2 linked regions of the Tribolium castaneum genome follow. The protein of the gene in region 1 interacts with the protein of each later gene in a biochemical or structural test. Links are inferred from orthologs where the notes say so. Each region holds a gene or a part of one and is shown on either strand. Other genes may lie near its edges.

The links.
Region 2: the proteins of Top1 (region 1) and SF2 form a complex in vitro, tested with the Homo sapiens proteins (2 studies listed by BioGRID, with this or other methods). The link is inferred for Tribolium castaneum from reciprocal best matches to the Homo sapiens genes TOP1 and SRSF1.

Annotation. Positions count from the first base shown.
Region 1 is NC_087398.1:8,304,691-8,309,209, forward strand, and holds the start of Top1 (DNA topoisomerase I, mitochondrial), read left to right. Parts: upstream 1-1,552; 5' UTR 1,553-1,658; coding exon 1,659-1,700; intron 1,701-1,993; coding exon 1,994-2,549; intron 2,550-2,724; exon of another isoform or gene 2,725-2,872; coding exon of another isoform or gene 2,873-2,877; intron 2,878-2,924; coding exon of another isoform or gene 2,925-3,004; intron 3,005-3,961; coding exon 3,962-4,236; intron 4,237-4,345; coding exon 4,346-4,375; intron 4,376-4,489; coding exon 4,490-4,519. UniProt on the Homo sapiens protein: Releases the supercoiling and torsional tension of DNA introduced during the DNA replication and transcription by transiently cleaving and rejoining one strand of the DNA duplex.
Region 2 is NC_087401.1:8,587,902-8,592,508, reverse strand, and holds the start of SF2 (serine/arginine-rich splicing factor 1A), read left to right. Parts: upstream 1-1,586; 5' UTR 1,587-1,675; coding exon 1,676-1,842; intron 1,843-1,888; coding exon 1,889-2,070; intron 2,071-4,607. UniProt on the Homo sapiens protein: Plays a role in preventing exon skipping, ensuring the accuracy of splicing and regulating alternative splicing.

The sequences.
Region 1 (4,519 bases):
ATAAGAAATAATATCGGTGTAATACTAATAGTCAAATCATTTGGAGACCAAGGCAATTTTTTCAAATTTTTTTGTTACTGCACATTTTAAACCACTGCTATAGTACTGCTTTATGGATTATTCCTTTTTTTTATTATTCTTAGGTGTGCCGTTTTAAGGAATTTGCGAGTTCGAAAAAAATAATGAACCTGAACACGAAGCAAAAAAAATATTAAAAAAATAGATTCCACCTATAATTTGCTTGTACAGTGGGCCGCAAAAATATGGAATAATCTTATTAAACAGAATTTAAAATTTTTGTCTTGGTTTTCGAATAACGTCGCTATCGACACATTTTTTTTATGAAAACCTCTAATTTTCTTTGATCGTTTCAATAAATTACATGTTACATCTTATCTTACGTTTAAATACTACCAAAAAACAACACAATAAATTTGTTATTTCACCAAATGATCATGGAAATAGATTTCAAACAAAATCTTAATAACTTTTTTTGTTAAGAGTATTTTTATCAGTTCTTTCGTTTTTCTTTTAAATATATTAAGTAGACAACTAAATTTAGAAGACTTGCCGCTCACTGTATACATTGTACAAATATTTTATCTATTATATTTGAAGCTTATTCCTCTTTTCTGAAATATATTTGAAAAGAGTTCCGGTATTCTCAATATTCAAGCGTTTATCGTGGGCGATGTCAATCTCATATTTTTCAGGATTCGTTTCTATTGAAATCAATACGTTTTCAGTAAATAGTTATAAAAAATTGCTACATTTATGATTTTACTTGTCTAAAAGTAGAACTGAATAGCATTTCTAAATAATTTTAAATGCCATTTAAAGCATACAAAAAAATAGCAGCTGAAAATAAATTCTAGAAGTTCGGTTTTCAAGACGTCAGCCGAGTCTTATTTGAAAATAATGCCACAAATCAAATCTCTGTTTAATTTTTTACCAAATAGAAAAAACCCGAAGTCGATTGACATTGCAGTTTTGCTTTCAGGCGCTTTAAAACGTTTACACTTTAAGTAAATATTTTAAAAATTGTTGGTCTTAAAGTGGAACGCGGAACATTTTTCTCTTTGATGTAAGGAGTAAGCTATTTCTGGTGCTATTTCTAAAAGAGGTAACAAAAGGAAACAATTCGAATGAGTTTTCCCAGAAAGTCAGGTAAACCTGACAATAATAGAAGAAATTTTTGAAACAACAATAGGTAGCTTTTCTCAGCTCGAACTAAATTTACACGTGTTATGTGGGAGGAGGTAAAAAAAGTGTATTCGATGATCTTGTTCGAAATATTACAATGCAACAAGTGCACAATACTTTACGTAACCGTCCCATTAAACATTAATTCCAAAAAACGGTCCGCAAAAGCTGTGCATGAACCCAAAAGTGCGCTCATCCTCTGACTCATCATCGATTAAAGCCATGAACTTTCTCCCGAATCTCTGCAATAAATTTCAAGCAGCTGACTGTGACATTCGTCTACTTTTCAAGTTCAAAGTTGAACGCACGAAATTCAAATCCTGGCGCGCTACAGGTTATTGCCTCTGAGTGCGGCGCGTGCGCACTACGCAAAATCGCGTACTTTGTCATAAAAGCGTTCGCTGCGTTTCCCCAACGAGGATTCTAAGTGTTTGCCTCGTTCAATCTGTGAAGCGATGGAAGTCGAAAACGGAGCAAATGGGGAAGATTCCAGTCCTGTAAGTACAAAATCTCGCCTAGAATTTAATTCCGCGAATTTCGGCTCGTCCACATTTTCCCGCTTGTGTGAAATAAGGGCGCTTTCCTCGTGCTCTAACAGCGTTCGAGCGAAATTTTTCTAAGTCCCAAAATGGCGTCAGAGACTAAGTCCCACGTTTGTGGCATCAGGTCTAGAATTTTCTCGCGATAAACCGAGATTACGCATTTAAACGGCTTCTTTTCGCTGCTTTCGGTTCAATTGGGGCGAAATCGAGGGGGGCTCCATTTATAATTTGCACGTTTTTTGGTGCAGAGCCACAAGATGAAGGAGTATAACAGCGATACGGCCCAAGTGAACGGCATAAACGGCTACTCGGACAAGAAGAGCCACAAATCGGAGCATAAAGACAAGCACAGAGACAAGGACCGGGAGCGAGACAAGGAGAAAAGTAAAAGCAAAGAGCACAAGAGCTCGAAGGATAAAGACCGGCATAGCTCCAGTTCGAAGGACAAAGACCGAGATAAGGAACGCCACAGTTCACACAAGTCCTCAAGTCGGGACAAGGAGCGCAGCGACAAGGACAAACACCGCGACAAGGACAAGCACCGGGACGAGAAAAAGTCCTCGAAGGACAAGGAAAAGGAGCACAAAAGCTCGCACGATAAGGACCACAAGTCGAGCTCGAAAGACAAGGAGCGCAAGGATAAAGACAAGCACAGCTCCTCGAAGGATAAGGACAAGGACCGCCACAGCAGCTCCAAAGACAAGCACAGAGACAAGGACAAGCATCATTCCAGCTCCAAAGATAAAGACCGGAAGGACAAGAACAAGGAGCGGAAGAGCGAGAAAGAATCGGAGAAATCCTACGGTAATTTAACTTTTACCTCATTTGCTAAAAAATTATTTCCAGAGGGCGTAAAGCATAAAACACATCTGCAAAAATGGCCAAGGGTTTGTATCCAAATTTTCCTAACTAAAATTTTAACAAAAGTAGTGGCTATTGTCAGTTTTTGTAGGTGTTATTTTTTGCTCTAGGCCTAAACCTTGCACTCTTTAACTAAAAATGTTAAGTTTGAGCACAGTTTCATCGTATTGTTATTGTTTTATTGTGTCCATAGTTTCGAGTCAGTTTGATTTGACAAAATTTTTGTAAATACAAATTTTTAGAACGCTCGAATCATTATTTTCAACATGAGGTAAATAAAAACCTACTCGAGTTTTTAATCACTGTAATGGCTTGCAGGTATGTAGATAAGGCATGTTTGAAAAATGTAACCATCTTCGTAATTGTGGACGAAAATCAATGTTTTTTGACGCAAGCTGGTACGTAATTTTAATTGTCTTTAAGTCACTCACCGACAGGACTAATACGGTTTTTGAACGCTTATTTATGCATTATTTAAACAAAAACAATATTCGAAGCTGCTCATGCATTTTTTTGCTTTATATTATGCGAAATAACGAAGACATTGTATTGAATTTTAAAATTTTTGTAACATCCTTTAAGAAACGTGTTTTATCCAAGACATTGAAAAACCAAGCTCACGTCTCACTTTGAAATGCAAACTACGAATGTTCGAAAACAATTCTTATTTTTGCAATAACTAGATTTAGACCATATGTAGGTTGTTTGTTCATTTTGTTGAGGAATAAATACACGAAGACCCGAAACAACTTTCAGTAATTATTGAAATAATTGATTTAATTAATTTATTATGTCGTTTGTTATTCTAAAATGAGCGGTTTTAAGCACCTTGACATTTTTTATCAGTGTTTTAAAATATCAAATGATATATTTGTGATTGTCCCGCATCTCGTTGATGTTAATTAATCATATCTTGTTCATGTGTGATGGAGTCCTTAGTATATAAAAAAAAATCACTTAATCCATCATTAGATCATAATTGGCAACAGTTTATTATTTAGTCAAAATGTTTATTTAATTAACAAATTGTGAATTAAAGGTTTCTTTGCATTTGCTGTAGATATAAATATTATTCTCTGTAATTGGGTTAGCAATTACTCTTTGATATGCAACAATTTGTTAGATAGTTGTTAATTACCAGCAGATTAACTTTCGTATCTTGTTACGATTTGGAAGAAATAAATTAAAAGAATCGGTTCATTACATAATAAAAATTAAACAATTCGGAGTCCAATTTTCTAAAACTTGGCCAAAATCCAATTGGGACAAGTGACAATAATTTTAACTAACCGTAAAATCCAATTTTACACATTTTACGCGAATGGAATGTTGATTAAACAATTTTTTACTGTCAGACGATGAGAGAGAAAAGAAGAGTAAGAACCATTCAAAACATGAAAACGACGTGGGAAGAGAAGATTCCGCAAGAGAGGATTCGGTCGATGAAGATGATAACAAACTCATCATCAAAGAAGAGCCCGAGTCTCAAGATGAAGTCGACGACAAAAATGCTTCAGCTGCGAGCAGCTGTGATTACAATTTGTCTCAGTTTAAATCGGACGAGTCAAGATTTGAAGATAGCACTGCTGATGTGAAGCAGGAAGAAGACAGCGATGAAGATTTGCCTCTGGTAGGTGTTTCATTCAAGTTTATCGTCTTTACGTAAATAAAAATCATACGATTGCTAAGGACAATAATTTGTAATCTTTGTAGTCATTAATGTTCAATTGTATTTTCAGCGAAAACCATTCGCTCACAGACACAGATTGGTAGGTTTTTTGAAGTATTAATGTTTGTTTAGTGGTGTTAACAGTTTTAGTTTGATTTTTGACTAATATTTTGCATGGTGTTGGTATTTTTTTACTGATTTGATGCATTTTTAGTCCGCCAGAATGGAACATACGTCAGTTAAA
Region 2 (4,607 bases), on another chromosome or scaffold:
CTTTCGCATGCGTATTTTGTTTCGTTGCCATGACAACGCCGACGACGCCGACTTGACTATAAGCGTATGTTCGGGCGTATCCAGTATCGGAGTATTGTATAGAGCTCAATTTCACCCAGTTTTCGTGTTCGCGTTGAACGTCTCTATTATGATATGACTATATTTTAATTTCTAGAAACTTCACTTTTAAAATAAATCCTATAAACAACACTGAGCCTTATTCTGTACGAAAAACTAGGAGCCGGTTTACAGAACATTTTAATTGCAATTACATTTTAATCACGATTAACTTGACATTTGTCAATGCATTTTACATTTAAATGGCAACTTAATTCGAATTAGTTTAATTCTAAATTAGATCTTAATTTCACTTTCTGTAAACCGGCTTTAAAACTGTTTTAATTGTTTTTAATTTAAGGAGCTTTAGTTGTTGGTACAACGATAATCAACAAAATTGCTAGGTTTGCTATTTTTTGAAATGTGTCAAATTTTAACAGTCCTTTAATAAAATTACAGAATAGGTCTTAGTGTGTGCAGTTTGGTAAAAACAGTTTATTTATGCGTTTGTTATGTAATTACTACTTAGTGTTGGTACAGTTTTTTGTTTTAATAAGTACTTCCACTAAAAATTTACGATATGATTCGGTAAATGATCTCTTTACCTATTCTTAGGGTTAAATTAAACGTTAGAACTATCATAACTTCACAAAAAAATGTAAAACTTTTAGCTCTTCATCTAGTTTTGAACGCCTCCACAAAACACAAATTGAACTTGCTCAAAACGATTTCGGGTTAAATTCAAATTCAAATTTTGATCAAACTAAAGTATTGCTGTTTCAGAACAATAAAAACGCCAACGTCGCATTTTCTCTCAAAATTAGCTGTTAGAGTTTATTCCAAAAATGAGTGAATTTTGGCATTAAACATACATAGGTAAACATTTACTATTGAAAAAAAAATGACCATAGGCGTCGTTATACAATGTCTGTCAAATCCACTGTTAGTATTTAAAAAATTGTGGTAATTAAGTACTGTGAAAAATAATAAACAAATTATTAATAATAATTAATAGTGATATTTCTACCTTTCTCCGTTCTCAAAATTTATTAATGTTAAAATGAGAACTAAGTAAACTTTACAGAAAAAAAATGCACGCCCATGTATTTTTATGTCACTGTCAGTTCGCCACCAGATATGGAACAACCTCTATAAATTATTCATGCACTTCAAAAAAATAATAACTAGTGTAATTTATACTTTCAATGAGAGATCTAATCATTAATAACTATTTTACAATTTTATCAATAGTATTTAAAAAAATAATTCGATAAAATGCGACGTTGGCGTTTTTATAGTTTTGAAACAGCTAATAGAGGCAAATGAAATTAATGTACAATTAAATTTTATTTTAACAGAGAAATTATTCCGGTGACCCTCAAACCCCGTACCAATACTTCGGAGTTGAATAAAATTCTTAAAAATAAAAATTCCCTGAGTGTGTTGGCAGTTATCTCATTTCTACACTCTTCTGTAAACACACTGTATTGTACTGCAACCCTCCATTCGAATTTGGCGCCACACCCCGTCCAGATGGCTCTGCCATCACAAACGCCCTCACGTCGCCATCTTTCCTTCTTGTTTATCGCCGATTTCGTCCACTTTCCAACACGAAACGATGTCCAACAGCCGCAACGACTGCCGAATCTACGTCGGGAATCTGCCCCCGGACATCCGCACCAAAGACATCCAAGACCTGTTTTACAAATTCGGCAAAGTTACATTCGTCGACTTGAAAAACCGACGGGGACCTCCTTTCGCCTTCGTCGAGTTCGAGGACCCCAGGTAAGCCCCCATGTGGCCTCGAAACCCTCTCAGTGTGCTGATTTAGGGACGCGGACGACGCCGTACATGCACGGGACGGTTACGACTACGACGGCTACCGCCTCCGGGTGGAATTCCCGAGGGGCGGCGGCCATGGCAGCTTCAGGGGTGGCCGCGGCGGCGGCGACAGGGGACGCAGCTCCAGGGGGCCACCAGCTCGCAGGTCGCAATTTAGAGTGCTTGTGACAGGTGGGTTTGTTAATTTGATTTGTGTTTTCGTTTTTTATCGCGAAAATCATTCGAAATATAATAGGAAATAAAGGTCGGAAAAGCGATTAAAAGGAAAGTCATTTAGTTTTTATTTACAGAATTTTTCGAAATTACACACAAGGGTATTTTAGCATGTGTGGCTGCCACCTACGATTTGATTTTTTAAATTGTGAGGTTGTGTTTTCATTGCATCGTTTCTTGAATCGTCAATAATTTATTATTATTATTACATTTTTGTTTTTTTTTTGTAAACTATAAGATTAGAGCGAAAATAAAAAAAGCATGAAAATACATTTAAAATTGTCTTATCTTTTCGTAAAAACATATGGGCTGTTCGTTTTTATTGTTACAACTTTTAAACAGGTGATAGCACACTCAATTTTAGGAGAAAAGTTTCCTACAAACATGTATCGAAGAATATTTCATAAGGGGTGTTCCTTTTAGTGTAATTTAATTTCCCCAATATTTCAGAAACCATGGCATATAAAAACACAAAATTTGGTACAGATAATAATCTCTGTACGTCTAATTGAATTCGAACACCAAATGTACATATTTGTAATCAGGGACGTCCCAAATTGGGGGGTGGAGGATAAAAAATACCCCAACTATTTTGGCTTTCGTTTTTTGACAATTTTAGAAACGAAGGCACATTTCTTATGGGAATTTAAGGACCACTCAGATTGAGTAATTTTTATAATATCAATCGATGCGTCTTAAAAAGCTGAACAAATCATATCATTGCGTCAAACGTGTAACTTAATTAGGAATGCCGGAAATTGCAATCGAATTGAAGATTTGTCCCATAATAAAAGCATTGGGGCGGCTTTTCGGTGAGAGCTTGTAATCCAGATTGGGGGTCAGGTATAGGGAACAGACACTTTTATGGAAATAGGGATTTAAGCTGACAAGTTATATCTCCAACAATGAAGTGTTATACTCGAAAATAAAAGTTTTTGGAAATTGTAGATTCTGAAAGTAGACACAAAATGATGTCTAGTAATATCGGTCTGAGTTTTTTTAAATCGGTACTTTTTTAGTAATAATAGAAAATTCGCGCTGTGACGTAAGCAATGTCTCGACTAATGATTCGTCAGTCTTTTGCTGCATACAATTAACGCTACGACCTACGTTTGGGTTGGTAAACGTTAAATATAAATGTCAAAACCGTGCGTTGTTGATTGTGACTGTTGTGTGCTAATATTTTGCAGGAGTTTGTGTTTTGGTAAAATGACTGCTCCTGCAGCACATCTGAAGTCGTATGTAAAACAACAGAGGCAGAAATTAAGAAAAAACGGACCACTAGAACCAAATTGAAATCTACGTCTTTTTGGCTTAGGCCGCATTTGTAAGAAAATGTCGACGTTTTGTCCGTTCTTCCTCGGGACAGGTTCTGGTCGCGAAACCTTCTGTTCATCCCTGATTTTCATGTTATTTATGGTCTGTAACATACTGTTTATTAAGAAACGGTTAGTTGTATAGAAATAACACAAGAGACCATTTTTATGGAAAAAACTATGGAATTTACTATTTTGTTATTAAATTGTCAGAAAACTAAAACCAAAATAGTTAGGCCTGATTGCTCAGTTCAAGCTGAAGCTTTCGCTTACATGAGGTCGGTTTATATTTAAACTAAGTTTAAACCGTAGTTGTGTTGTTGAGTGGAAAGTTTAGCTAAACCGCGCTGAACTTGTCACTTACGGGGTTGGTAGTTCTGAACGCTTGCGCACTTCAAGTATGAGGTTGCTTGACGAAATTTTAACAGTTCTGATTTTGAAAAGTTAAGTTAATATTTTGGTACATTGTAGGAATAATATTGTTATAATGATATTTATGCTTCCTTCTGAAAAAGAGCAATTTATCGTTTTCTGTCTTTTCTTTCAAAACACAGCAATAAACTGATTTGCACAGTTTATTTGTTGCTTTTGTGCATTTGAAGACTTGGGCGTCCTCACTTTTTAAAACTATGCTGTAATTAAAATCACATAATATTTACTTAGTATCAATAATTCTAACAACATTATTCCCCTGACTGTCGGATTTTGCTGCAGCAATTAAAAAAGTTACTGAAATAAGAATAAGTAAATTATTATCATTATACTTTTTTTTTAGTTTTTTTTTAAATATAATAATAATATATTAACTTACATGTTGTCTATTCATTACTGTCATTGTTCAAGTTTATTTGTTTAATTCAAACTGAACCGAAATTTATTTAAAAAAACTGTTTCTGTGCATCATTTTTGAATCCGGAAATTTAATAGTTCTTCATCATTATTGTTAAAAGCAATTTTTTTCCACATTTGTGAAAGTAAGTAGTATATGGGCTATATGGCGCTTCATGAGTCTGTTTTTTCTAACATTGTTGGTCTGCGTATTTTATGATTTTTTTAATTGTCATATATTTTTCGTAATTAGCAGCCTCTCTACGGGTGTCTTTTGTTGTATTAAATCTTCGAGCAATTTGGGCCCATGTTCCATTTTTTTCACCGAACGTAATCAAGTATCTTTTTTAT